Tamandua tetradactyla: one gene and its partners. The protein of the gene in region 3 purifies or fractionates together with the protein of the main gene of each other region. This does not show direct contact. Links are inferred from orthologs where the notes say so. Each region holds a gene or a part of one and is shown on either strand. Other genes may lie near its edges. The genes, in order: SINHCAF, KDM5A, RBBP4 and ING2.

The links.
Region 1: the proteins of RBBP4 (region 3) and SINHCAF purify together in Homo sapiens (affinity purification with mass spectrometry; 3 studies listed by BioGRID and IntAct, counting the BioPlex papers as one, with this or other methods). This does not show direct contact. The link is inferred for Tamandua tetradactyla from reciprocal best matches to the Homo sapiens genes RBBP4 and SINHCAF.
Region 2: the proteins of RBBP4 (region 3) and KDM5A purify together in Homo sapiens (co-immunoprecipitation; 3 studies listed by BioGRID and IntAct, with this or other methods). This does not show direct contact. The link is inferred for Tamandua tetradactyla from reciprocal best matches to the Homo sapiens genes RBBP4 and KDM5A.
Region 4: the proteins of RBBP4 (region 3) and ING2 purify together in Homo sapiens (affinity purification with mass spectrometry; 3 studies listed by BioGRID and IntAct, with this or other methods). This does not show direct contact. The link is inferred for Tamandua tetradactyla from reciprocal best matches to the Homo sapiens genes RBBP4 and ING2.

What each region holds. Positions count from the first base shown.
Region 1 is NC_135333.1:94,268,177-94,275,854, forward strand, and holds the start of SINHCAF (SIN3-HDAC complex-associated factor), read right to left. Parts: upstream 3,028-7,678; 5' UTR 2,484-3,027; coding exon 2,468-2,483; intron 1,942-2,467; exon of another isoform or gene 1,833-1,941; intron 1-1,832. UniProt on the Homo sapiens protein: Subunit of the Sin3 deacetylase complex (Sin3/HDAC), this subunit is important for the repression of genes encoding components of the TGF-beta signaling pathway.
Region 2 is NC_135333.1:64,212,088-64,219,351, forward strand, and holds the start of KDM5A (lysine-specific demethylase 5A), read left to right. Parts: upstream 1-4,196; 5' UTR 4,197-4,624; coding exon 4,625-4,789; intron 4,790-7,264. UniProt on the Homo sapiens protein: Histone demethylase that specifically demethylates 'Lys-4' of histone H3, thereby playing a central role in histone code. Does not demethylate histone H3 'Lys-9', H3 'Lys-27', H3 'Lys-36', H3 'Lys-79' or H4 'Lys-20'.
Region 3 is NC_135328.1:193,217,544-193,225,115, reverse strand, and holds the start of RBBP4 (histone-binding protein RBBP4), read left to right. Parts: upstream 1-4,561; 5' UTR 4,562-4,695; coding exon 4,696-4,711; intron 4,712-5,292; coding exon 5,293-5,440; intron 5,441-7,572. Other genes in the region: ZBTB8OS (protein archease), read right to left, coding at 3,823-3,955. UniProt on the Homo sapiens protein: Core histone-binding subunit that may target chromatin assembly factors, chromatin remodeling factors and histone deacetylases to their histone substrates in a manner that is regulated by nucleosomal DNA.
Region 4 is NC_135352.1:29,357,213-29,364,368, reverse strand, and holds the start of ING2 (inhibitor of growth protein 2), read left to right. Parts: upstream 1-4,078; 5' UTR 4,079-4,145; coding exon of another isoform or gene 4,146-4,342; 5' UTR 4,343-4,688; coding exon 4,689-4,857; intron 4,858-5,700; exon of another isoform or gene 5,701-6,542; intron 6,543-7,156. Other genes in the region: uncharacterized protein LOC143669889, read right to left, coding at 3,804-3,936, 4,146-4,342. UniProt on the Homo sapiens protein: Seems to be involved in p53/TP53 activation and p53/TP53-dependent apoptotic pathways, probably by enhancing acetylation of p53/TP53. Component of a mSin3A-like corepressor complex, which is probably involved in deacetylation of nucleosomal histones.

The DNA of each region.
Region 1 (7,678 bases), on a different chromosome or scaffold from region 3:
GTAAAGTACCTGATAAGCATTTTACGTTTGGTGTTTTTTAAGCATTTTAAATACATGACTCGGAGAAATAACTATGCCCAAAAGAAAGCCAGAAAATTATCAAAATCCAAAGTTTTCAATTTTCCTGACACGTTCTCTTTCTAACCACTTCAGAAATGTAAGTGCTAATATTAGTTGCCTTTTGGTATTTGTTAACTGGGGCAACCAAAACTTGGGAGATGTGTCTATTTACTAAGACAACCATGAAAAGGCACAAAATGGATTTCAACTTGTATGGATTGTGTTTTAGTGTTGGGGTATACGGCATTTAAGGAGAGCTACATTATTTTCTAGTAATGGCCACTTTTAGATTTCAATCTTTAACCATAATTCAAATAAAGAGTAAATCAGGAAAGAAACAGCAAATACGATGCTGCTTATTGGATGTCTAGACTGCAAGCAAACCCCAAATACCAAAAAAGCATCCATGTGTCAAACCAGCATAATTTTTGAGCTATGCCTAGGGCTACATACCAAAAAAAAAGTTAGCTTGAAAAGTTAGGAGGGGTAACCAGAGGGTCAACTCCAGTTCACAGGAACTAAGAAGTTACCACAGTTAGCTAGCCATTACCCCGTGTCGTCCCCAGAAGCAGCTTCCAAGCCCCTACGTGATCATTTCTTCAAGGTCATCCTAAAATAATGCAGCGAATAATGCCTAAACATTGAGTCGGACATATCTTTAGGGCAAAGATCCCCCTTCCCGGAATCATTATACAAATTCTTTAAATGCCATGAGGTTTTTCTCGAAATTCACCAGAACCAAATTTCAGTCTTTAATTTACACGGGGCAACCAAATGTTCAATTTTGCAACATAAATTAACAGAAGGATTTGCCAAAAGTCTGGCAAAAACAGGTGCTTTCAGTGTACTTTTAATGACGAGGTCATATTGATTTTTTTAATTATTAAAAAAAGGGGGGAAATCGCGTTTTCTTAACCTTCTTTAGGACAGCGTTGGGGGGGCGGGGTAAATACAGCGGCCTTGGACAGGGTCCACGTTTGGTTTAGTCGTAATTCCTAATCATCGAGTACTGGAGTAATCGAAGGTTAGACGGCAGAGGGAGAAAATAAAAACAAAGAAACCGACTGGGGTCATAGTTACCAGAACAAACTGCTCCGCCCTACCACCCCAAGTGAAACCAAAAACCCCCCAACCAAAAGAATCCTTCCCCCTCCCGCTTCCCCCTCCCACACGCAAACACACAAAGACAACAACGGCACGCACAATTCGGCCACAGTCCTCACTTCCCCTTCTTAGCGACAGCGGGAGCCCCGAAACTTCCCCACGGTGGTTTTCGGGTGCCGTCGGGACTGGGTCCCCACGACTTGCGAGCTACATCTCGGCGGGGCTGGGGAGGTGCTCGCGGGTTTCCCCGAAAGCAGCAAAGCGCCTCCTCCCCCGTCTTCTCAAGACCCTCGGGTCCCCCCCCCAAACTGTTCTTTCCCCCTCCGACAGGCGGGGACGGCCTGGGGACACCAAGCCAGCAAAGACAAACGCTCCCTGGTGAATTTGTTGGTAAATAAAACATCTTGTGTCGAGAAGAAAGTTCCTCTCGAGGGCCGCTCGCCAGAGCGAGGGCAGCGGGAGGTGAACCGCGTCCTCCCCTCCTCCCTCACCTGCGCCGGAACAACGGGGCCCTCGCGCGCGCCCGCCCGCCCGCCCCCTGGGCCCGGCGCCTCCCGCAGGCCGCGACTCCCGCACGCCGCGCTGCCGGGGCTTGTTCCTCCTCATGGCTTTGCCCTGACGTAATTCAAACATGGCAACAGTTCGACTTCAAAGGCGAATCCACAGACCTCCCAGACGCAGGCTCCCGGCCCAAGGGTAACGGGGCCGAGAACTCCGGCCACGCTCTCTCGGCCGCTGCGGCCCCCAGCGCTGGGGCGGGGGAGGAAGCGCCGGAGGCGCCCGTCTGCCTCGCCCACCCGCCCGCTCAGAACGGGTTAGCACGCCGCCTCCCCGCGCACCAGCATGGCACCTCATACAAGTAGCGCAGCCAAAGTTTCCCCACGAGGGGCTGAGGGACAAAAGCCAACCCCTCTCCGAAACTCGCAAGAACTTGGGTGGGCCCCGAGCCGGGCGGCCCTCAGTCCCGGCGGGGCTCGCACGGGCACATGCAGCCCTTTGTTTTCTGTCCAGCCGGGCGCTGCCTACGTGCAGCATCGGGGATGTCGGATTGTTCCTCAGGGGCAAGGCACTTGGCGATCACCGAGAGGAAGGGTCCGGACGCCGAACCCCGAGAGCCAGGAGTCCTGTCCTCCGGTCCTTCTCGGAAGCGGGCCGATTCAATTCAAGTTTTTCCAATGTCCTTGATAAGAAAGCCCGAATTACCCTCCCCGCTCAAGCGGATAGTTGGCGACTTTCACTCTGCTTTTTAAACTGGCAAGACGCCATCACCAGCAAATTACATTGTCTTGCCGATCGGACCTACCCGACAGCGACTGCATCTCAAGGCTACCAGGAAGCTGGACCTTCAGCCAGACCTCCGCCTAAAACGCGGGTCGCGGCACGTGGTCTGTCATGTTTAATACAAAAAAGCGATGCCCTTCGGAGTTCACTCACTCCTTCCGCGCGGACAACGCCACTGCCTCCATCCCCAAGTCAACTTCGCTGCAACTGGCCATCTTAAACCGCAGATGGTGGCCCTAGAAAACCCTCACCATAGCGCCCACATCGACGCTACAGGTGAATAAATAGGTTTAATAAAACTTCAGGCTCCAAAGAAGCCTCGGACACCAAAGCTCCATGGGCGCGGTCCGCGGAGGCAGGCGTGGGGAGCTGGGGCTGTTTTAAGCGGCCGCGTGTTGCTCTCATTGTCGCATCCGCATCCCTCCGGAGTTGAGCAAACAACGCCACGCCGCGTGCACTCGGGCAAATCCCAGCACTTTCCCAAAAAGGCCGATTTAAACCCCCTCAGGGCCGCCAGCTGTAAAGTCGATAACAACTTAGTTTTCGAGCGAATGGCATTTACTGTCCATCTTAAACAAAACACGCGTGAGGGGCTGTAATAAACTGAACCATGAGGTTTAACATTTAACAACGGCGTCCGGCCGTGACCGGGGCTCGCGCCCACGCGGATGCACGGACCCAGGGTCGCTCGGCAATTGCCAGCAAGTCGCTTTTCTCTTGGGCCTTTCAGCCACGGGGTTCCTTTTAGCCAGAGAACACTGCAGCTGAGAAAAGTCATTGTCACCTTCAGCGTGGATCCCTCAACTCCAGCAACTCCTCAATTATTTTCAAGCTCCACTCACTTCCCCCACCCCAAGACTTTCGGTCTGCTTCAAATACCCCATCCCCCAAATTAAAAATACAAACTAAACATGTGTATACAAAAGAATGTGGCGTCTGAAGAACACGAAAACAGCGCTCCAGCAATATCATCTCCAAGACAAAACTTCCTGTTGGGGGGGGGGGGTGAGGGAAACGACCAGGGAGGTGAGTGAGGTGAAAAGAAAAAACCTGAAATCAAAGCCTCATGAAGCAGTTTTGCACCAGAGTGATGCTTAGAATCACTCACCTTCCAAAAGCAGCCGTTCCACGCGCAATAACGTTCCCGAGGTGCGGAGTGCACACCAGGCCAGCCCCCCTCCGATCAGTCCCTCCTCCTCAACTGCCTTGTCTAGAAAGATTGTCTCCTGCAGTTCTGCAGTTGCTACCGCTGGTCGGGAAGGTGTAGATTCCGCTTTCCCTCTGCGCACGCGCGGCTCCCGGTGCAAGATTCTCTTGAATCGAACTTATTTGCATGCGGGCACGAGCGCGTCGAGGGCTGGGGAGGGGAAAAGGCCTGGCGGCCGCGCGCGCTCCCGAGGCCTCTATTGTCCTTTTAAGGGGAGAAGCGCCGCGGCGCGGGAAACGCGGCGGCCAGAGGGAAGCGGGGGCGGGGACTGCTTACTACGGCGGACGTCACATAAACAAACGCCCCCTGGCTGGAGGCGGCGGCCGAGAGTGAGTGCCGGGATGGGAAAGGCGGAAAGGTTAGCAACCAAGGGAGTAGATTCGATTGCGTGAGATGCTTTCCACCCTGAAGTTCGTAAGGCACACCATTTCGCGTTGAAAAAATTTTCGAAAGCTGTTTTTACCAAATTTTCACACCTGTACCCAGTTTCTCGCCTGAGATGAGGGGAGGTTAAGCACTCGGACTGAATTTATTCTTCTTCCCCGTCTCCTAAATTTTATTGAAACTTGAGTTTTTGTAGCTTAAAAATAAATTCTTCGGGGCCAGCAGATGTTACTGTACCTGCAATTTTAATCAGTCGTTTAACAAAGTCCTATTTTGACACCCTATACGTTCACTTAACTTCACTCGCCCTACTCAAATAGTACCCTACCCATCATGATCCAACTTTTTTCCCAACACTTCGGCCTTAAGATTTCAAACCAGTCCTAACTGAATGGTTGTTAATTTCCATGGGAACAGTGCCCTTTCTCAAAAGACTAGTCAGTAGTCTAGGGACATGCATATATATCTCCTCCAGCTACTTATAGAGTATTCCACTCACCCAGAAATAGTACCACTAACCTGGTCTTGGGAATTGAAAAAGTGGCGAAGAAAGTGCGGGACTTTTCCTTGTGGAATTTATAATAAACCAACACTCTAAACAGTTCTAGCCTCAGGGAAATAAAAGTAGCATTTCTCAAATTGACAAGTGAAAAAAAATTTAAATAAAGGTTGCGATACACCTTTATCCCGAGGACATACCTAGCACCAGCAGGCAGACAGTTTGGTTTGATAATGGAGGGAGGTTGAAGAGAGATAAGGATGTTTTTCCCAGATCCACAAGCTACAAAAGTGTGAAAACAGCCAAAAAACTTAATTATCTGCTGACAAATTTCTCTGTTTTCACTCTAATGTCAACAGTGGATTTAAATAGATACAAAGCATCTGAAAATCTAATTTAATTCAACAGCCAGTTCCTAGTACATTCTTACAATGCGGACTTCTGAAGTCTTCAACTAATGCTTTTTTTTTTAAAAAGTTCTGTAGCAGGCTATTCCTATGGCTGTATATGAAAACTACTTTTTTAAATATCCGTGAAGGGGGATGGCATCTCTTTCTAAAATGTGAACTCCTTAAAGGCAGGGATTTCATATCTTATACTTTTAAGTGCCTAAAACAGTGTACAGTAGATAACAGATTCTGAATAATTGTTTGACAAATAATACATCAGTGGTTTAAATTTATTGTAAATCTATTTCAAGTTAAAACAGCTTTACTTTAGTTTATAATTTTGTATTTGACCTATAATGAAATTGGAGAATATGGTGATCACCTTGATTCATATGACGCCATTCCTGTCCTTATAATACATAATCCTGAATAGCCTTAATAAGTCTTTATGGGCTTTCATTGGTGCAAATTGAATCCCAAACTTGAATCTCTATGTTGTTTTTCAGAGAATTTAGAAAGTTGTCCTGAGTTGTCTCAAATATTTATTTGTTTATAATAGATCCTCCAAAAATATTTTAAAATTATTATATGCCTTTCAAGATGTGAAAATTGTAAGCATCATCATATTGTTAAACTTCAGTTACTGCTTACAATAAATATAAAAGTGTAGCTAGAATGAGAAGTATCCAATATCAATCAGATATTTCTATATATGTGAGGTACTAAGAATATGAAAGATGAAGATTCTAAGCTTCCATTAACTTCATATAAAGACATTTTATATCTTAGAAAAATTATTTAAGGTTAGAAGGGAAATATTTCTTTAAAACTTAGAAGATAAAGAAATGTAAAATCAAACAAGTGATTGTCATGATTAGAGCTAGTAGTCATCTCTGAATACACCAAAGAATTAAGTAACATAAAACTCAAATCCTTGGAGTCACCACATCGCTGATATAGCAACTGCAGATGTGTGCGTCACATCAAGGTTTCTGAGAAGAATCTGGACATCAGTCAGAAGACAAATCTCTGGACATAGGTAATCTCAGTTAAGAGGGAAGATAACTGTCTAATTTAAGGGAGTTCACATTTTTTTTATTTTTGTGAATATTACAATGAAGTCTGTGTATATTTGGTATTTTCTGTACTTGTAATGTTTATAAGAAATTGACCTATTAGAGTAACAGCCTTGTGATTCCAAAGTAAAATGTATAATTGAAAAAAACAAAAGTATAGCTAGAATGCTTTTTCTCTTGGAAATTTATATAAAGAATATATATGGTAATCCAAGGATGGAATAGGTTCAAAATGTGCATGCATTGCAGGAATTGTAGTATTCCTGTTCAGATAAGAAATATCTGGACGTTCTGAACTACTGGACTAATTTCACACAGCAAGACTTCCTCTGCTCTCAAAGAGGTCAAGCAGTATTTCAGGTAATTTTTGTATGAAAGTCAGAAACAAAGCTCAAAGAGAAATCTGGATTCTTTAGAATCTTTTTTTTTCTCTAACAACCACCTGCTATTTTTGAACAACCAGGTGCATTCCAAAGGTTCTTTTGTTCATTTTGTTGCTTGAACATGCTGTTATGGCTGGCCCTATCCAGAGCCAATAGTTCATTTATAGGTTACTTAAAAATACTATTATATAAATAGCCCAAGTGAATTTTCGTTATTTAAAAAAAATGGAAAGAAAAGTAATTTATACCATGTAAATAAACTGGATTATAATAAATTGAATTTCACCATGCTAGAAAAATATCTGAGTATTTTTTAAATGAAAGTAGTGCTTTGTGAATTCATAATGAGTTCTCAAAGACATTGAAATTGAAAATATAGCTGTGTAGCCACATACTCTAACCACACCAGCTACCTTGCTTATTACATATTGTCCCACTGTAGAATTACTTCTAATGCTTGAATATTTCCATTCATTTAGTAAAAATTTAATGACAGTGAAACCCTTTTGCCCTAGAGAAGCTCAAGCCACCACACTTCTTCTAATTTCTTTCTGTGTAATTCTACTTGTATGTTGTTTTTTTCCCATAGAATTTACCGCCTTCTTTTGAGAGTTTAATTGCTGCCAGCAACTTTACAATTATTATAATATCCTTGAAATGGCGGAAAAATTATATGAAAGTCTGAAAAGCACAATTCTTATTTAGTAATGAGGGATAATATCAGCAATTTAGTGATGTATTTAATAATGATTGCTTTTAAAATGAAGTCTGATATCCTGTTTGTTATTATTAATCATTGGGTTTCATTCCTTAAAAGGTACTAGCTATAAGACTAAACCAAGAGCTCTTTTTCTCACAGCAAAACAAGTACAATATTTTGTTACCTCTTTGTTTAAATCCTTTTGAAATTCTAATAAGTGGTCAGAGCAAATCAGATAACTTTACACTATAAGGTACGTAATTGGTTATGCAATCTAAGAGACCCCAATCCTCCAACAACCGTTGACAGCTGCCAGGAAAACAGGGTATATATTACTGAATCAAAACTACTTTTCAAATTTCTGAACTTAAAGACTTAAAGAATTGTCACAAGCTCATTCTTAAAAGAGTTACCTCTGAATTTACAGAGGTTTTATATTTTATGCTACTATCTTATGACATTTAAATAGCATAGTTTAAAAAGACAAAATTAACAGTAATGAAAATAATTTTAAGAGATACATTGACAAACTTGAGTAAGTTCACAGGAGAGTAAACCAGGATGATTGAGGAGGCTAGAAACCACAGTGTAAAAG
Region 2 (7,264 bases), on a different chromosome or scaffold from region 3:
TAAATATCCTATTATTTATAAAATAACATAAATAAATTATTACTTTATTAATAATTTTAAAGCAAAACCATTATATTTTAATTGAATGCTTAACCAAATGAATTATTTCAGTGTTGTGCCAGTTTGAATGGATGTATGTACTCTAGAAAAGCCATGTTTTAATCCTAATCCCATATTGTAAAGGCAGTCGTTTCTTCTAATCCCTATTCAGTACTGAATGTTTGAAACTATAATTAGATTATCTCCCTGGAGATGTGACTCAATCAAGAGTGGTTGTTAAACTCTACCCATTCCGGGTGGGTCTTGATTAGTTTACTGGAATCCTATAAAAGAGGAAACATTTTGAAGAAAGCAAGAGATTCTAAGAGAGCAGAACAACATAGCCACGAAAAGCAGAGAGTCTACCAGCTAGCAACCTTTGGAGATGAAGGAAAACTCCTCCTGGGGAGCTTCATGAAACAGGAAGCCAGGAGAGAAGCTAACAGATGACACTGTGTTCACCATGTGCCCTTCCAGCCGAGAGAGAAACCCTGATTGTGTTCGTCGTGTGCCTTTCCTCTTGAGAGAGAAACCCTGAACTTCATCGGCCTTCTTGAATCAAGGTATCTTTTCCTGGATACCTTAGATTGGACATTTCTATAGACTTACTTTAATTGGGACATTTTTGTGGCCTTAAAACTGTAAACTTGTAGCTTATTAAATTTCCCTTTTAAAAAGCCATTCTGTTTCTGGTATATTGCACTCCGGCAACTAGCAAACTAGAACAAATGTTTTTATTTAGATTTCAATTATTACTCCTTTTTTTGTGAATAGTATGGCTTTCCAGATGTAAGTAGTAAAAATCTCAGACTTTTATCGTAAATCATTCTAATTGTATGCAATGACTCACACTTCCCTGCATCCATATCCCTTTGCAATGTTATGTTGTTACTCCTCCCATCATGAAATGAAGTCTATTTCACACACACCCTGAATCTAGGATGGCTTTCTAGCTTGTTTTGTTCAACAAAATGCATTGGAAGTGATCGTGTACATCCTGAAATCCAGTCCTTAGGCTTAGGCTTAGGCTTCCATTCTCACCCTCCTGGAACCCTGAAGCCATCATGTTGCGAAAAAGCCCAGTTTAACCATGATGGGTTAATTTCATGTATGCTGGTTTGAAAGGATGTATGCCCCCTAGAAAAGCCATGTTTTAATCAAAATCCCATTTCATAAAGGTAGAATAATTCCTATTCAATACTGTATGTTTGAAACTGTAATCAGATCATTACAATGTTGATGTGTATGTGGATGATGTGATTTAGTCAAGAGTGATTGGTTGTTAAGTTGGATTAGGTGATAACATGTCTCCACCCATTTGGGTGGGTCTTGATTGGTTTACTGGAGTCCTATAAAAGAGGAAATATTTTGGAGAATGGAGATTCAGAGAAAGCAGAGAAGAATGACATAGCCACGAGAAGCAGAGTTCACCAGCCAGCGACCTCTGGAGATGAAGAAGGAAAATGCCTCCCGGGGAGCTTCATGAAACAGTAAGCCAGGAGAGAAAGCTAGCAGATGACTCTGTGCTCGCCATATGCCCTTCCAGATGAGAGAGGAACCCTGACCGTGTTCACCATGTGCCTTTCCAGATGAGAGGGAAACCCTGACTGTGTTTGCCATGTGCCTTCTCACTTAAGAGAGAAACCCTGAACCAAGGTATCTTTCTCTGGAGGCCTTAGATCGGACATCCTATAGATTTGCTTTAATTGGCTCATTTTCTCAGCCTTAGAACTGTAAACTAGCAACTCATTAAATTCCTCTTTTTAAAAGCCATTCTGTTACTAGTATATTGCATTCTGGCAGCTACCAAACTAGAACATCATGTATCACCTTGGCCAGGTTATTCTTTCTAGTTATTTGTCAAACAAGCAGCGGCCTGATTATTACTGGGAGGGTATTGCATGGATTTTAATCATTAGTCAGTCAATTGTCTGTGGATGATTACATCTACAATCAACAAAGGAAACTGCCTTCAGCAATGTGAGAAATCTCCTCATCCAATCAGTTGGAGACCCTAAAGAGAGATCTGAGGATTTTAGCAGTCAGAAATAACTTTTATCTCTATTTCAGCCAGCCCTCCTCTCCTGAGGAATTCAAAATCATCTTCAAGTTCCCAATTTGTGGTCTGTCCAGCAGAATTTAGACTTGCCAATCCCCGTGGTTGGTAATGTGAACCAATTTCCTACAGTAAATCTTAACATTTATATATATAACAAACATACATATGTATACACACACACACACACACACATATACACACACATATATATCCTGTCACTTCTACTTCTCTGGAGAACCCTGACAAATCCACTAATTTGCCAAGTATGAGAAGCTATGTGGAGAACTGGGGCTTCTCAGCCAACAGCCAGCACCATCTGGTAGACATGCAAGTGAGACCATCTCAAACCGTTCAACCCAAGCCATCAGATGATTGTGGCTACATGAGTGATTTCAGATGAGACCAAGAGAACATCAGATTCTGAGGTTGTTTGTTATCCAACAAACAGAAATATTCCCTAAAAGTGTTTGCATATGGGGTTTAGGTTAGTGGGTATGAGTAATTGGGTATTAACTACTGTGGATGCTATAGTTAAACAAAGGAATATTATGTATGTCACATCCTGATACAGTCTCAAACAAAATTTGGCATATGTAAATATAGGATGAGGCAATGAAACACAAGGCAGTTTATTTGGTGAATGTTTTTTATTTATTTAACAAGAATTTATTGCATACCTTCTATGTACCAAGCATCCCCAGGAGCTGGGGATACTTTCCAGAGGAAGTGATATTTCAGCTGATGTATAGGAAGAAGGATACATAGGAATTTAACCAGTAAGAGGATATACATAATTGTTGGAATGGTGTGGGGTCAGGAAAGTACAAAAATGTTCCAGACAGAGGAAATATTACTTGTGAAGGCTCAGAGGTGAGAGTAAGCAGGATGTTTTAAAGCCATCACAAAAATTTATGTGGCATACATGGAGGAGTATAAGCGATGAAGCTAGGAAGAAATACAGAAAGTAGTAAAAGAGTTTGGATATGAAAGTGACAAGATGAATTCTGGGTTTCTAGACAAATTAATCCAGAGTCTGACTGGAGGGGCAAAGAACTGAGCAGTTATCACAGTTTGGGTTAGAGAACTTAAATTAGGATACTGGTAATGAGGACTGATAGACACAGATGGATTTAAAATTTTGGGGTGATACAATCTCCAGTCTTCACACACGATTGTATATAAGGGGAAAAGGAGTATAAGGAGTTAAGGATTATTTCTAGATTTCTGGCTCAAGCAATTGGATGAAATCATTCATAGAACCAGAAACACTGAATGATTTTAAGTGACCCAACTGGAATTGTCCAGTAGGTAGCTGTAAGTATTGGCTTGGAACTGGGTTCAGAAGACTAGGCTGGAAATACAGATTCAGGAGCCTAAATTGGCAATTTAGGTCCGGAGAGTAGCTGAGGCTGCCTGGGGAGTATGTATATCTAAAAAGGGAATCTAGGACGAAAGTTTACCTCCCAGTGTTTACTTAACACTAACGTTTCACAGTTTTCCTTTTAGTCCCTTCTACGTTACTCTCTACAATTTGGAGAAAGTGGGAGATAGACACTGACACACATGTTTCTGACAAGCAATGGTTATGGCTTTCACGGCAAATTGAGAAAGGCTTACGGGGCCAGGGTTGTCAGAAGGAAGTGGTTACTGTTATATGAGATGACTTGGAGCATGACAATTACCGGATAAGCAAGGAAAAGAGCTGCTACGTCTATGTGGGACGAAAAGCAATTCCTGGATGGGAGCTAATGTCCTACTGCAAGACTTGGGGGATAAATTCGACCAGAAGTTGCCATGGAGGAGGGGAATGGCCCAGGAAGATTACTCGAGATACTAGCAGTCAAAAAGACACACACACACAAAAAAAAAAAGAAAGAAAAAAGAAAAAGAGAAGGAGACACGTTGAAAAGGCTAGTAACTTGGTAAAAGGAAGGCAAGTAGGTTAAAACAAGCCGCAAACCACCAGCAACGGGGCGGAGTGAGTGAAGTTAGAACAAGCTCCTTTTCCTGTCCTCTTATACACAAAAGGGAACTGGACCCTCCACACCGGAAGCAGAACCTCTGCCCTCTGAAGCATTACACATTCCTCCGCGCCGGAAGAGCGCGTCCCGCCTCCGCCCCGGCAGCTTTACACCATTTCTACCTCTTCTGGAGGAGTGATCGTGGAACTCTCAAGGGTGGGCCGTCTGGACTCGTCGGACTGCGCAAAACAGTCGCCGGCAAGGAGAGAAGGAGCGACACTGCGCTTCCGGGAAAGGGAGGAAGAAGAAAGGGTCGCATAGCGAGGCGTCGTGGCGGAGGGATTTGATAGTACGTTGACTTCCGGAAAAGTCCTTCCCTTGAGAGGAAAAGCCCCGGAGGAAACAATAACAAACGAGAGGAGGAAGCGAGTCTGGTGTTCCTCTATTGAGCAGTTTTTGTCAGAGAAGATGTGCTTCGGTCCCTGTCAGGGGACGTGAAAGGCTTGGTGGGCTTCAGACAGCCTTTTTCCACCTGTTCGCCCACGGAGCCCTCCTGGGTATTGCCATGGCGGGTGTGGGGCCGGGGGGCTATGCGGCGGAGTTTGTGCCACCCCCGGAATGCCCAGTGTTTGAGCCTAGCTGGGAGGAGTTCACAGACCCACTCAGCTTTATCGGCCGCATCCGGCCTCTGGCCGAGAAAACTGGCATCTGCAAGATCCGACCGCCCAAGGTACTGAAGTCTGTGAGGACTCTTGGTTTAGCTTTATTTTTCCGGTTTTTCTGTCATTACGTATTTATTCACCCTTCTTTTTCAGCAGTTCGAGGCTAAGGTTCTGTATATTATTACCGTGTCTTTTATTTCTGAAGTCGAGATAGTGGTGTGTGTCCCTGGGAGCTTTTCCTTCTAGCGCTTGAAAGCTGATAGTTTTCTCCTTCTTTGGATTGAAGGCATGGGTAACAAAAGGCCTTTCGTTGTCCTACAAGTATGGCCTTCGATGTATTGGGAGTATTAGACTTTAGAAATGTTATGACGTGACATGTACCTCGTGTTCAATCCACATAACGATGCGATTATAAAACTGTTCTTCCTTCTGTTTCTTTATCCAGGTCCTATTACTGTTTAGTTTATTAAATATTCGCAGGCTTCATCTCAGTGTTAGGGTATCTTAATAGGTAATCTGAGCTCTAGTTGTTCCCCAGAAAGAAACGAGAACCCCAGACTGGATTATTGCAGCACTGAAAGTCTTCCCAGGGGTAGAGAAGGAGCAGCATTTATCTTTAAAATTTAGAGGTTTAGGAAGAATTGGTTGTGTCTTGGAGGTGAAAGAAAATGTTGAACTCTCTCGATCCAAGGAACCAAGGATCAAAGATGTACGAGTCGCGTTATTTCTAAATAACCAGATATGTTGTAGGTTTATTACCATCATCGATCTTTAATATAAGTTAAGGAAAACAGATACTACCTCTTTGGGTGAATTAGTGCCCCAAGAGGTTAAGTGATTTGCGCAAGGTCACAAGGTTTATTGGTCGCTTGAGTCATACAGGATCTCAGGTTATCTAGGTATTGTCTTTATCACATTAGACATATGCTTTTCGAATGATATTCTTGGTCCACCTGCACCAGGGTTAACTGGATGCTTGTTAAAATGCAGATTTGTAAGCCTCATTCCCAGACTAGATAGATCAATTTCTGGAATCTGCTTTTCTAGCAAATTACTTTCATATGATTCTTAATGCACATTAAATTTTGTGCACCATTGTCTTGGACAGTGCTTCCAGAAGACACCTTCCTTTATGTTTTGTTTTAGTGGTAGTAAACAAAATATTAGGCACTGTTACTGTGTTGGATTTTAAAAACTTCTCTCTTAGATTGTCATAGAAAATTCATTTGTCCTCACCATAGACTACCACAGCAAATAAAAGGAATTTAGCTGGGAAGCAGGAGGTGGGCAGGGAGGAGAAGCTAATTTAGCCCCTCCTGTTTGGCAAGGGCTTTGTATGTATATATTGTTTCAGTAATCTTCTGTGAAGTTTTAGTAAGTAAATAAAGTCCTCATTTTATAGATGAGGCAAGTCTCCGTAAGTTAAGTCAGTTATTAAGTGTGTGATCATGGGTAAACTGCAAGGTATATTTTTGAACCTAGGTCTGTAAACAGATTCTAAAGACCATGCATGCTATTCCTACTGTGATGAATGAATTGATTAAGATCATAGACTATCAGTTGTAAACAAACAATTAACAGGTAATTACTATGGTGATATGTATCACCATCTTCTAAAAGCTTCAGTAACCCTCATTTTCTGTCAGAATTACCTAATATTGACAAAACCTTCAACATTAAGGTTTTTTTCTAAACTGTATTTTAATCTACTCTGTTGCCTTTATTAATTAGAAATTTTAAATAAAGTTTTAGTAAAATTGAAGACGAAAAAGTTTTAAAGTACTTAATACACATTTGCAAATATGTTTTTACATTTATGTGTAATGTGATATAGCAGTTTACATTCTATATTATGAAAATCTTTAATTAAAAAAAATTTTTTTAAAGAGGTTGAAATAGTATACCTTCTCTTGTGTGTTATATCATTTTTATTGAAATAAATCTTGTTTTACAAGCAGAATTTAATCTTAATATTGGTGGGTTTCTTTAGTTTTCAAGGGAAGATAATTTTTTTGAACTACTACTCAGATTTTTATGTGCCAAGTCAAACTTTATTCTCTAGAACTCCACTTGAAATATGCTATCTCATTTCAGTTATTCCACAGCATCCATCTGGAGATTTTCCTTGTCCTAGTGGGTTTGCAAACTTTTTTTTTTTTTATATTTGGGTTCCAGAAGCTGGGCTTTCATTTAAACAAAGGATTTTTGTAATATAGAATGTAAAGTGCTATGTCACATTACACGTAAGTATAAAAACATATTTCCAAATATATATTAAGTACTTTAAGACTTACTTTTTGTCTTTAATTTTACCTTTTTTAGTTTCTTTCAAATTCTGACTTTTTTTTTTAAATAAAGTTGGATGTTTATTGGTACAGGGGCTCATTGCATTCCACTTGAAATAATTTGGGAAAGCATAATTGTGGGAAATAACAGGACTGGTGAGATTTGAAGAGATATTATTTTTTTGAGTATTATTGAAATTATTTTATCTAAGAAATACAATTCTTTCTGTTTCTCTAATAAAGAGGACTTATAATTTG
Region 3 (7,572 bases):
TTATCCAAGCCTGACTATGTAATATCAAGCACTAGTTACTTGGAAAATATTAGTTCGCTGAGTTACACAGATAATATTGCCACTTTTCATTAAACAAAATTTAAAAAAACATATTTTGCTAATATTATCACCAATCTCATCAGAAAGTCTTTTAAGTACTGGGAAGCCAACAAGCTCAGGATAGCAGACATGAGTTTTCCAAAATCCTAATTTTCATTTGAGTGCTTGAATTTCATCACTGGCAACAAATACGTCAGTTGTTTTTTTTTTTGAGGACAGATCACATTATCTATTTTCAAGAAAATCTCAGCCAAACACTCGTGGCAGCCAATTCAGCTTACAACTTTATTACATAAGTTTTTTTTCTCAAGGTAACCATCTTACTTCACATATGGGAGAAACATTTTGTAATACTTTTGCTTTCATTAAAAAGATTATTTTAAAAATGTATACTGAAGGGTCAGGATTTAATAAAATTAGTAATTCTTACTGATTCATCAAAGACATTCATAAGTGAAAATGACTTTTTTTTTTAATGGCAAGTATGTGGTGGTAAAGAATACAATGACTACGACTACTTTTGGTCTTGCTGCCTCAGATTGTGCTAAAGTGCCAGAAGTTTAACCTAATACTGTTTTCCCACCACCAATGTATCAAATATCAAAGCAGTGACAAAAACAATTAGCAACTTAGTATTATTGTGAAAATAGTTTTGACATCATTTCTAGGGCCCACAAACCATACTTTGAGAGTTGTTACTACTATAGGAGAAAAAGAGATAAACCTAACCTAGATTAAGGGGTTCAGGTAAGAATTCCTGAAGGAAACAAGATTAAACACTGTAAGTGCCAAGAAACTGAGGACTATCTATATTTGCTTTGCTCTTTTTTTCCTAATTTCTGTTCAGTAACACACTGAATGATAGGTGCTCAGTAATACAGGCTGAATGATAGGTATTCAGTAATATGCGCTGAATGAATACATGAGATCAACTAATCTGAGTCTTAAAGGACAACAGGGCTACAAGGAAACTTTGGAGGTAGATTTAGGGGTGGTCAATAGCAAAAAAAGGAAGCTGCAAGAAAATACAGACTAATCTCACATTACATCAGTGTAAAAATTCTATTAAAAATGTTCACAATAGAATCTAATAGCACATTAAAGTAATAATACACCACAACTAAGTGGGATTTAGTATTCCTGGATTGCAAAGAGGATTCAATTTTAGGAAATCTGTTCATATAATTCAGGTAAATATATGGTCATCTCTATAGATATAATCATGAAACATAATATAAAAATATTAACGGGATTTTTGTGAGACTAAAAAGGTTTTTTTGCACAATTTTAAACTACTACATTTTAAACTTTATTTTTTCTCTCATTCCTAATTGCTGTTTTTACTGAATGTTTTATAATGCATTGGTTATGACCATATAGTAGAATATACATAATTCAGGATGTGCAATGAAAAAAGTTTGGAGACAATTGTCCCAGAGAATCAACTGAAAATTATACTAACCATAAGAGAATTCATAAAGTGCCATTATAAAAATTAATTATAGAACTCAAGAGCTTTCACATATATTATCAACAACCACAGAGATAATATAATGGAAGAAAAGTCATTTACATTAGCAATAAAAAAAATGAAATGCTATGAGGTTATACAGAATAAGATTTGAACAAATGGAAAGACATACCTTATTGCTGGAGAAAAAGACTCAAAGTAAAAGCTTTAATTCTCCCTAAGTTTATTATTAACAAAAAATAATACCCGTAGAAATTTTTTTTTCAAACTCAACAAGCTGATTTTTATCTATATATAAACAAGAAAGAATGGCAAGAAAGGGGCAAGTACTGGGGGAGAAACTGTCCTACAAGATATTAAAAGATAGCATAAATTCCCAATAATTAAACCATGGGCACAAAAAGAGAGAGGATAAAGGATTAGAACGGTAAGTTCTGCAACACAACCAACTACATGTAAGGGAATTCCGTATGTGATAAAGATGTGGCATTTCAATCGCAGGGTAACCAACTGTTGAATAAATGATGTTAGAATATCTGGTGAGTCATCTGGAAAATAATTAAATTGGATACTCACTTTCCACCTTACCTCAATTCTGATCAATTTATGATTTAAATGTTTCTTTAAAAAGCAGTAAGTATTAGAAATAAGAACAATCTATAACAATATAGAAAAATATGAATCTCACAAATACAATGTTGAGCAAAAAAAAAAAATGTACATACTGTGAGTCCATTCACACAAAGCACAATAACAGGCAAAACAAATCTATGGTGTTGGAAGCCAGGCTCATGACAGGTGAGAGTGGTAGTGACTGGAAGGGAGCATGAGGCTTCTGGGATGCTGATAATATTTTGTTAATCAGGTCACTAGTTATACAAGCATATTCAGTTTGTGAAAATTCATTTATGCACATTTTTCTATATGCATACTGTACTTCAATAAAAGTTTTATTTTCACATGTACTAGGAGAAAACATGAGAGAATTATAACCTCTGACTAGGTAAGGTCTCCTACATTGACACCCCAGACGCCATAAAAAGAAAAGATTAATAATTTTACCTACATAAAAATAAATTTCTAAATATAAAAGAGCATCAATGCAATACAAAAATGGGTTAAGAATATGAACATACACTTCCGAGAAGGGAACCACAAATAGTCCCAAACATACTGAAAGATGCTTAACCTCACTTATAATCAGAAAAATGTAGATAGTATGACAAGATACATAACAAATTTTAAAAACCCAAAAAGTATGATAACACCGAAAAGTGGCAAAAGTGTGGGAAAAGAAATACATTCATACATTGCTAGTGAGAGTGTTAACTGTTATAACACCTCTATGGAGAACAGTTTGGCAATAACTATTACAGTTAAAAATACACAGATCCTTTGACAAAGCAACTTGCAGGAAGTTTTTCTACAGATACACTTGTGTATATGCAAAACACGGATGTCCAAATATATTCACTGCTGCACTGCTGGTAACAGAAGAGCAGAAACATCCTGTATACTGAAAACTGGTTTTAAATAAAGTAAATGCTGCGACATCTTTGCACATACACATGAGAAAATGGTAATAATGGTTATTCTAGGCTTATTTTTCACTGCATACCTGTTGAATTCTATATATAACTATTAAAATATGATAAAAGACTTATCCAGAGGACAATGGGAAATCAAGGCAAGATTTTAATCAGGGAAATAAAATGTGCTCCCCAAACTACATTTTCCTCAGAGATGGTAACAGCGTTTGTAGAGGATGTGCACTATGATGGAACTGAGATGCAAAGACAAGCTATGTGATCTGCCTGAAATCTAAGCAAATGAATGATAAAAAAACACGTCTTTTTATTAGCATCACGACCCATATAAAACACCAAATGAGAAGTTCCTGATTTGGCTTTCTCAATTCCTAACATGATAACACTTTATCCTCGTGTTGGAGATACATGCCCACTGTTGGAGATAACTGACATCGACAACCTCGAAACACTAGAAAATACGGTTATCTTTAGAAATAATACACTAGTAAAATCCACAAGATACACATGATTAGTATCTATACATGAAAGTTCAACAGACTAAATGTGCGAGCCCAATTTTCTCGAATCTCAGACTAGGTGGCTCTTTTCTTTAGCGTCACTCCGACAGGTACAAAAGAGACTACAATACACAGAGGAATCAGGTCATGTCTGAAGTACTTTTGGCGAGGGGTGAAAGGCAAGGCCGGAAGCCAGGGGATGCCAGTGAGCCCCTATCTAGAGAGAGGAGAGTCACCTACTTACACTCGTACTTCCGATTGACTGGAGGATACTTGGCCTTGATTGCCTTCTGATCCTCAGTCAAATTGTAGTCTCTCACATCTTCCTCCGGCTCCGCCATGAGTGGAACATTGCGTAGTCTACTTCCGCCCTTCATCCGTCAGACTTCAGCCCTACATTACAACTTCCGCTCTAGAGTTCGTCGCCTGGCACGCACCTTTAAAGGACCAGGACTCCATTTTCGTAGCGTGCGGATGTAGTTTAGCCGCTAAGCCTTCCGTCTTAGGCCCAGCCGCTTGGAATACACTTTTAAATGATCAAGTCCTCATTTCCTGCACTTGATTCATCAGTCCTTTTTTAGGATTAAAGAAACAAACAACTTGAAGGTTCTGGAAATAGGAGGCACCTGAATTAGACACTACCTAAGTCAGAGTGACAGGAGCCGTCCTGCCTCCCCCAAAGGTATCCAGGGTTTCTCAATTGAGTACTTAGAAGGGGTCGCAAGCTTAATTGGCTTGAAGGAAATGGCTGCGCCCAGGGGAGTACAATGCTAAATCTCTGTCACGTGACCCTAGGCGAGGCCAGCCCCACCAACCCCTCCGAGCGCGCAATCGAAGGAAGTCAGCGAGAGCCGAATAGGGGAAGGGGCGGAGCGCGCGCCTCGGCCTCGCGTAAAGCGACTCTGCGCGTCTGGATAGGCTCTGAATGTGGCTCCCCGCCCACTCCACTGTTCGGAACGCCCCGATTGGCCGATGTTGGCGCGAAGGTGCGCAAGTAGGGCCTCACGCAGGGGCAGCAGGAAACAATAGAGGCCGAGCGCGCTGAGCAAGCGCCTCCAGCCTCCCCGCCCCTCCCGCGACGCTCAACTCCGCGAACCCCCTCGCTTGCCTGTCCGCCATGGCCGACAAGGAAGGTGAGGGTGCCAGGGCCGCCCTAGGAGAGCCGAGGGGAGTCATGTCTGTGCCGCGGCCTCGACACGGCCTAACAGCGAGGGCAGGCCCAGTTTTGCAGAATGCGGTTCCCACCGTCGAAAGCGTGAGGAAAACTCCCCACTGAGCGGGCTAACGGCGCGCCAGTAGGAGGGGGTTGCCCGTCGGAGCCGGCTGAAGCTGGCGGTGCTTAGTCCCTCCTCGAGCAGCCCGGCAGCCTCTCTGCGCACCCTATCGGTGTATTCTCTCCCGGGCCTCATTCCGCGGCTCCCTATCCCCAAGGGTCGGTGTTCGGGCCTCCTCGCTGGTACTGTAGATTACGGCGTAGGAGAGCGTGCGAGAGCCAGGGAGCCGTCACACCCAGTGGATAACGGGGTGTTTGGCTGGGGTGAACCCAGGGTAGTTTTCGGCCCCCATCCCGCCAAGGTGTAAAGGAGTGTTAGTGCCACTGCCTAGAGGGGCTTTGGGCAACCCTTTTCCTCCCCCCATTTCAGAATCGACTCAAGTAGCAGTGTGTTCGATTTCCGTTTGTGTTTGCTAACTTCATTTATTTTTAATGCTTTAGCAGCCTTCGATGACGCAGTGGAAGAACGTGTGATCAATGAGGAGTACAAAATATGGAAAAAGAACACTCCTTTTCTTTATGATTTGGTCATGACCCATGCTCTGGAGTGGCCCAGCCTCACTGCACAGTGGCTTCCAGATGTAACCAGGTGATACGAATCTCTTAAACTTTCTTTTGGCGGACCCTCATGAAGTTTTTCACATTGATTTTTTTCCGTATTGTTTTCCCTATTTTCTTCTCTCCGGGTCACTTGATATTTTTTTTTTCTTACGTCAAAGAACTTGGCAAAATGTGAAAATGTTTTGTGACTTACCCAAGAGAAAACTTGATGGCATTGTCTGCCTCTGATACTGAATTGAGTCGCTACATTACAACTATAGATTTATGTACATGTGTGTATTATGTGTATAGCCATGTTAAAGCTATAGTTGTCCAAATGTAAAACTTGTCAGCCTTCAAAAAGGAGTATGTGTCCAGTTCTTTCTGCAGAACTTGCTTGAACTCTTTAACAGTCCCAGTCTCGCAGTAGTAACTGTTGAATATAAAAAATGAGTATGGCATGGTACCTGCCTTCAAGAAGCACACAGACTACTCAAAGAGGCAGACGTAAACTAATAATTATTAGTTATTAGAAAGTTAGAGCAGTTACAATTAAAGGAGGTGAGAGCAGAAAACAACGTGAAGGTGGAATGGTTTTCATGTGAATGGAGTTGGGCATAGTGAGGGTAATAGAGATTAATCATGTTTTCCTGGAAGTGAGTAGCTTAAATCTGCAATAGAGGAGATTAAATATTTAACTTAATGTACATTTATTAAGGATTTAGTAGCTATCGGATATCAGGGGATACCAGATATCAATTTCCCTGCATTGATTTCCTGCATATAAACAGTAAAAATAACTAAAATTACCATAAGAGTAGTAGTGCTGATGAAATGATGAGAAAGGAAAATTTACCTCAACCCAAGAGTATGAAAAAAAGTTTCAGGAAGAAATAGCATCTAAATTCATTCAAACTCTGGTTTAGTAAGTCAAGATTATTGCAAAATATTGTGAGACTGTGATTCAGCTCAGCAGGCATTAAGAATGAAGCTATTTCTTTCATAGTGGCTTGAAGAACAAATGAGGAAATCTGTCCTAAGGATGTTTTCTAAAACCATAATAAATACTTAGAAATTTAACCATGTTTGGCTTATCATCAGAATTACTTAGTGAGTTCAGGATAAATGGATTTGTTTCTGTCAGAAATTCTTAGTGATAGTTGAAACTATTTAGATTCTTGTGGCAGAGTTCCTAAGTGAATGATGATTCCGTATTTACTCATGTGCTAAATTATGTCTATTAGACCAGTGGGTCCCAAATATTAGCCATCCCAGACCTTCTAAATCATCTGGAACACGTTTTTTTGTTTAATAATATGTATCTTTTTTTATTTTTAAATTTAAAAAAATATATAACAATAAACAAACATGAACATTCTTAACATATGACCATTCCGTTCTACGTATATAATCAGTAATTCGCAATATCACAGTTGCGTATTCATCATCATAATCATTTCTTAGAACATTTGCATCAATTCAGAAAAAGAAATAAAAAGACAACAGAAAAAAGTTCATACATACCATATCCCTTACCCCTCCATTTTATTGATCACTAGTATTTCAATCTACTAAATTTATTTTAACATTTATTTTTGTTCCATATGTTTCACTTATCTGTTGATAAGGTAGATAAAAGGAGCATCAGACACAGGGTTTTCACAATCACACAGTCGCATTGTACAAGCTATATCGTTATACAATCATCTTCAACAAACATGGCTACTGGAACACAGCTCTACATTTTCAGGCAGTTTCCTTCAGCTTCTCCATTACATCTTGACTAATAAGGTGATATCTATTTAATGCGTAAGAATAACCTCCAGTATAACTTCTCGACTCTGTTTGAAATCTCTCAGCCATTGACACTTTATTTTGTCTCACTTTGCTCTTCCCCCTGTTGGTCGAGAAGGTTTTCTAAATCCAGCTCATTCTAGGATTTCTGTCCCATGTTGCCAGGAAGGTCCACACCCCTGAAAGTCATGTCCCACATAGACAGGGGGAGGGCGGTGAGTTTGCTTGTTGTGTTGGCTGGAGAGAAGACGCCACATCTGAGCAACAAAAGATGGAACCCATGTTTTAAAACTTCCCAGGTAATGTAGTGATTAACCAGATATAGAAAGCACTGAACTAGACTATATTCCCCAAGGCTGAAATCCTGTGCACTGTCATCTTAGTTTT
Region 4 (7,156 bases), on a different chromosome or scaffold from region 3:
TTGTACATTTAGTCACTATCATTATACACTCTAGGCATTCCTACATTATACCATCTCAATCTTTATCGTCTATCTTTCTTTCTAATTTCATTTGTGCCCCCAGCCCTCCTCCCTTTATCATTCTCACATTCAGCTTCATTCAGTGTTTTAACATAATTATATTCCAGTTAGGTAGTATTGTGCTGTCCATTTCTGCGTTTTTACATTCAGTCCTGTTGCACAATCTGTATCTCTTCAGTTCCAATTACCCAATATCTTATCCTATTTCTATCTCCTGATAGTAGGACCATCTTTTGATGCTAGTAGTCATCCTGTAACCTGAAGTAGCAGAATTGACTGAATTGGCTGTATTCACCAACTTTTGTGTTCTCTACCATATAAACTACAAGTATAGGCTGAAATTGCTCAGATTTATACTATCTAGAGAATCTAGCATTTTCTTAACACTGTCCTTTGGTCTTAAATGATTCCTGGAAAGCAAAATAATTGCTAAAACAGATATTAATCTAATTGTAAATTAGATTAGTAGTAAACTGAGAGGCTGAGAAGAGTTTCTCCAGCTTATAGAGATTTTTATATTTTTAAATTTTATTTCTTTTTTCTACAATTTTTTCTACAATTCCTGTGTTGGACTTATGCAATAAAGCAGGTGAGAGAGAAACTCTGACTGTGTTCGCCATTTGCCCTTCCACCTGAGAGAGACACCCTGAACTTCATTGGCCTTCTTGAACCAAGGAATCTTCCTGGATGGCTTAGATTGAACATTTCTATAGACTTGTTTTAATTGGGACATTTTCTCAGCCTTAGAACCGTAAACTAACACCTTATTAAATCCCCCTTTTAGAAGCCATTCCGTTTCTGGTATATAGCATTCTGGCAGCTAGCAAACTAGAATAGAAGGGCACTGCTATCTGCTTCTCTGAATCACATAGTGAATTAACTACCTCTAATTGGTTTAAAAAAAAAACTTCATTAATCAAATGCAACGTGTAGAACTTACTTGAGTCCTGTTCAACGAACTAAGTACAAGAAAATGGGGAACTCTGAATTATCTGAATACTGATACTAAGAAATTGTTTTAGTTGGCATAACGGTATTGTGATATAGTTTTTAAAATCTCATCTCTGTTTATATTTAAAGCATTTAAAGATAATTCTGGCCATATGTTGGTCACTGTTCAAGCTGGATGCCTAGTATATCAGGATTTACTGTACTAATATTTCTACTTTGATGTTTCGAATTTTCCATAATGAAGAGCTTAATAATATTAAAAGGAGAAAAAAAAGAAAAGGATTTCAAATTTAATTGACCTGACTCAAACAAAAGTTGAATTTTCTCAGAACACATCACAGTAAACATTTGGGGAATCTTTCAGAATTACTTGTTAGTTGTTTTCAGTCAGAGTGTGAAGTTGTTGCTCAGGCCTCTCACAGCATAAATAAGAGCTATATTAGATAGCTTTGGAGGCACACTTTCTACCAGGGACAAACATCTCAAAGGTTAGAGTCTTGGAGGCCAAAGGCTGATTTAAGACTGATTCAGAAATTAAAGTTAATCCCCATACACTTCTACTAACCTGGAAGCATTAGATACTTGTCTTTTTAGAGTTGTTTGTGGGGGAAAATACAATGAAGAGTAAGTTGCCTCTTTGCTTTATTCATAGACTATCTTCTATATTGGAGAATTAGGGATTTTTAAATCTTACATTTAGCAGAGGATAAGGAGACCCATTCTAAAAAGACCCCAAATTTCCAGTTAAGTGACTACAAAGCAGAAAAGAGACATTCATAATTAACCAAAGTGAAGTATGGAATTTGGGGAGTATGGTGATTTTTTTATTCTGTGTAACTACTCTCCCACAAAGGCTCCTTTCAAAAGTACAGCAGGAATAAGCTTTTGATTAACCTTTATAAATATAGCAACAAAGGTACATAACTGAAATAACTCATGCACACAAATATACATATATATTACCATACTAGAGTGTGCCTTAGGTTTAGACCAAAACAATTTGAAAAATAATTAATTTTTGCTTCTTATCAAACTGTACAAATGAATTATGAAAGGAGAAAATAATGCCATAAAAGTTCTCCCAATCCATTCTCAACCTTTCCTCTCAATTTGCTCTAGGTTCCTGGAGGGGTTTCCTGCATTATTGCCTTTTCTCATTTCTAGTTTCTAATAACCCTTTGCCACATCTTCCTGTGACCACCTGCCAGAATGAATAAAATCTCATAGATAAATCTGGTATCTAACTAATAAATAACATGGCATCATGCATTATTTGGGAGCCTTCAAGAAATACTAGCTGATGCAAACTTGTGAACAAATAAAAATATTAGGTGAAGGTAAAAAACGGTAAAATTCAATTCCTACCAACAACTGTGTTTTGGCAAGAGGTGGCTGCTTAATTTGAAAGATTAAAGATGACAACAATAAAATCCCAAGACTGTTTCCAGTCACAGTGGAATGCCTGGATGAAAATTGTGGTAATATTCAAGAGGTCAAAACTTCAAAGTATCACAGGATAATAACATAGAACAATCCCTGGGTCCTTTGCAATATTTCAGTTGTTCCCAAAACGTCAAATTCCCTGGCGTGCTCTGTTCTGGTTTGAAATGTAAGTTTTTCTCTAGACTTCTCTTTGCATTTAGGGACTCTAGCATTTCACGGTTACTTAGTATTAATAGCTGTTTCAAAAGTGCTCGAAAGAAGGGAAGACTTCTCACTGGCTGCATATTTACAAATTTTCATATTCAAACTATGTGAACGTAATTCTTATTCTTGGCACTCAATTCAAACTTTAATCTTAGGACTATGTTGTTTGGAACTGAAAGAAAATAATAATAATAATAATAATAAAGTCCTCTAAATAGGTCATAATACAGTTGTACCACTGGCTGCAAACAAACTGGATATAAGATAATCCAAACTTACCACGCACTAATATTTCCTCAAAGGTACTACTCACAATACGGTTTATTTACATAGGCATTCCATTAAAATTCTCCGTGTATTCGTTCTATTTACACCCATTTCTTTAAAAAAAACACGTTGTTATATACACTGAGAGGACATTCGTACTTAAAATTAGCTCTCTTGCTTGGCACTTTACGCAACAGACACTATACAGAAATTAAACCCGAGTATACCTCCTACATAAGGCTGTGAGCATGATTCCGGAATAATGCTTTCATTCCCATCTCCGTCCCCCCCCCCCCCGCCGTGTTTGTTAGTTCTAGGGTAAAAAGAGACGGGAAGGTGGCGGTGTCCCCTCCCACTCCGCCAGTTTGCCCACGCCGACGTTCAAGGCTTAAACATTCTGAACCCGAAAATGGTTTCTTTTTATTTGTTCTCAAAGGTTGTCTGTTAGACAAAAACTTTTCCAGGGCAGACTCAGTCCAGCATCCCTTCCCCCCAAATTTAAATAGTGGGTTTCTGGAAAAGGGAAGGGACAAAACCTGCAAGGCACCTCGAAGCCGGGAAACCTCTAGCGTCTGAGGAAGGGCGGAAGCACGCCCTCTAAGGGAGATTTAAAAATCGCGCGGACGTAAAGAAAACGCAGGGGGCCGAGGGGGGCACCGCCTACCTCCCTGCTAGCCCGGGTTGCTCCTTGAGCCCGAGGGCCACGGAGGGAGGAAGAGGGAACCGTGAGGTAACCGCTGAGGCAACCGCTGAGGCGGCAGCACCGCGACTGGCAACCGAGCGGCGGGCTACGGCGACGGCGGCGGCTGAGGCACAGCCACAGCGCATGCCGGGAGCCGCACCCCGCTGCACGCTGGGTCGCGTAGTTCCCACAGGCCTCACTCCAGGGCGTAGCGAAAAGCGACCGCCTGCTGTTCCTTATAAGGCTCCAGAGGGGCAGCGCTAGATCCACCTAATGGCAAGAAAGTCGGTAGCACCGAGTCGAATGAGTTGGGCCAAGTTTCCCTCTTCCTGTGGGAAGGACAGAAGAAAGAAGTCAGCCACTTTCCCTTTCAGGTTCCATTCAGACATTGGGCGAAGAGCCGGGCTTGACAGTGCTTCCCCTTTAAGAGGGGGCGGGGCGCAGCTTGCCGTTTGGCCGTCCTCCGCACCCTCCCCCCAAGCCTAGAGTTGACAGACCAATCGCCCGAGTGGCGGAGGGAAGGCGGGAGAATGCGAACCCTTCGGTAGGGCGGTAGGGGCGGACCCCGGCCTTATTAGGAGTGAGTCCTGCGCAGGCGCAGAGGCGGCCGCAGGAGGAGGGGCGGGAGCAGTCCAGTGAGAGACTCTCCGACAGGCACGGAGGGTGATTGGGAGAAAAGGGGGCAGCGAGAGGCTTGTCATGGGGATCCGAGCTACGAGGCGGCATCGGTAGCATCTGGAGACTCGGAGGGAAACAGGAAGTGTCAACGCCTGGGACCCCGGCGCCAGCTCCGCTGGGGGGATCCCCGCTGCTCCAGTCCTGGGGAGGGAGGGGTGAAAGGAGGAGGCACTGACCTCGCCCCGCCCCTGGATTTGTTACCGCGGGGGCGGGGAGTGAGGGCTTCTCTTTGGGGGAGTGAAGATCGGGGGACTCGGCTGTGCCCTCCTGAGTGGCTGCCGGTGTCCCCGCGGTGCCGGGCTGCTGAGCACAGGAGCCGCGGCGTCCGTGGCTGTTGCAAGTGTGGTTGCTGGATGCGGAGGCGGCGGCGGCGGCGGCGGCGAGGAGCAGCAGCGGCGGCAGGATGTTAGGGCAGCAGCAGCAACTGTACTCGTCCGCCGCGCTTCTGACCGGGGAGCGGAGCCGGCTCCTCACCTGCTACGTGCAGGACTACCTCGAGTGTGTGGAGTCGCTGCCTCACGACATGCAGAGGAACGTGTCTGTTCTGCGAGAGCTGGATAACAAATATCAAGGTAGGGAATCACGGGGCTGCTCGTGGGGGTCCTCCCCCGCCAACCGGGATCCGCTGGCCTCCGCGAGCGAGCTCTTGGAGGCTGCCCACTTTTCCCTTCTCTTGTGACAGTCTCCTCGAGTGCACAGATGGAGTCTGGTGTATGGGACGGGGGAGAGGGACTGGAGACCGTGTTCGTGGCCCTCCCTTCCCCCGCTGCGATCGGCAAGGTCTTCTGTGGGGTCTCTAGGCGGGGGGCTGCCGCTTGTCAGCACCCACTGCACACCCAGCGGCTGCAGCTGCTGTGGAAGGGAATCAGCCATTTTAAGCAGCAAGCATTTGTCCTGACGCTTGTTCGCCCCGTGCCGCAGACCCGCCTGCCCCGCGAGGGAGTCTAGGCAGAGGCGGCCAGTCGCCGCCGGGCTCCCGCTGGTCTCCGGGGCCTGGCTTTCCCCACCCTCCTCGGGCCCCCACCCCCTGAGAGCAGATGCATTGGAACGTGCGGGGGGGGAGGGGGCGAGAGAGGGCCGTGAAGGCGGACTCCAGTGAGGTCCCTCCCGCCGCTCTTTGGCTCCCGGCTCCGGGTTTGAGGAGTCGCTCCCTTCTCCCCGTCCCTGAGAAAGTTCCGGGCCGCAGCCTTTTCCTAGCTCCTACGGACGAGTGGTTAAAAGGGGAGGGGTCCCCCGTGGGGAAAGGAAGAGGGGTGTGTGTGTGTGGCGAGGAGGGCCCCCAGTCCCTGGAGGCGGGGCTTGGGCGTGACGTAGGTGTGGGAGGGGCGCGGACGCGCGCGTTCCCGCCGGCCTCGAAAATGGCTGGTTGTGGGAGGGTTGGGAGAGAGCTGCTGTTAGGGAGGGGGTCGGGGCAATGTGGGACATTAGTTCAGCCCTAGCAGTCAATGTTGGTGTTATTTTTCGATTCTTCTTTCCAACTACTGAATCACAGCGGGGGCACAATCAACTGCTGCGACCGTAGCTAGCCCTGGCCACCGCGTTGATTCTGGGCCTTGCGTCACTTCCGGGCCCAGGAGGAAGCGGGTTGGTTGACTGGGCAACCGCCTGGCGTCCCTTCACCCCTGGGTGTCTCCTGCGCTAAGTTTATGGGATGAGACGAAAACCGCCCTTTGTGGTCGACACAAGAAGCTAGGACCAGAGAATTAGACTTTCTCACTCAGAGTATCGTTTTTTCTTCCACTATTGGTTGATATTTTTGCCTGCTCCTAGGAGGGAAGCAGTTTAAAAGGGGAGTCGTTATGCACTTAATTTAACCCTGAATCAAGTAACAGGCAGTGGACATTATGTGGAAACAGCCATAACGACTTTCAGCATAACGTATTGCATGCTTTCTGTGTTTTTCTAGACACATCACTAATCCTATGATTTAGTCTCTAAGCGTCACGCCTCTACGGTGACATTTCCTGGCTTGTGGCATGTTAGAACATTCAGGTGTCTCCATGTTTTATTTCTGCCTTCTGAGCCCATGTTGTCGCTAGGACTAGTCTTTGTTAGTGGGGAAAGGAATTAATACTGACCGTTTAAAATCTGCCAGTCACCGCCCCAAGTCCAGAACATCTCATTTATCGTTGCAATGACTCTATGAAGAAAAATGGAAGTTTTCTCGTTTTACATTTGATAAAACTAACAAGATGTTTAAGTAACCTGCCCAGGTAATTAGGTGGGGAATATTTGACCCCAGAACCTGCTCCTTCAGGTGTGTCTTTGTTTTTTAAGCTATTTAAACTTTTTTTCACTCTTTATATAAAAGCATTCGAAGGGCTACAAGCATGGAACATATACAGGATTGGTAGCCTGAAAATAGTAGCTTAAAAACATATGTATTTAAGAATTGTGTATTGAACATTTTTAGTTTTTCCAATAATAATAAGCCTGTAGTTTGTTAAGCTTGCAGATTTTTACATTTCTTTAAAGGTACATGTTTGTCTTCATAAAAGTTGTTTTCTGTTCATTTGAAGTTGGGAAGGATACTATAATTCACTAACACGAAATGGGCATTCTTGACCATCTAAAATTATCATATGTATCTCTGGTAACATAAAAAATTGTAGTAGACCTTGCAAGATTGACAGATTATAATAATCGTCAACTCCGTTGAAATTGTTCATGCAAGTGACTAATTTCAAGATTAATGTAAAAACAACAATCCAATTTTTACTCCATGTACATGCTTACTAAGCTCATCTTTCACAGTTTTGTTTACTAAAGTTGTGTACTTTTGTGCTCTTTGTTCATATTACAAATGTTTTTTTTTTCTTCATTGGCTCTTAAATATAACTAAATATATGTAAGTCCATATAAATTATATAT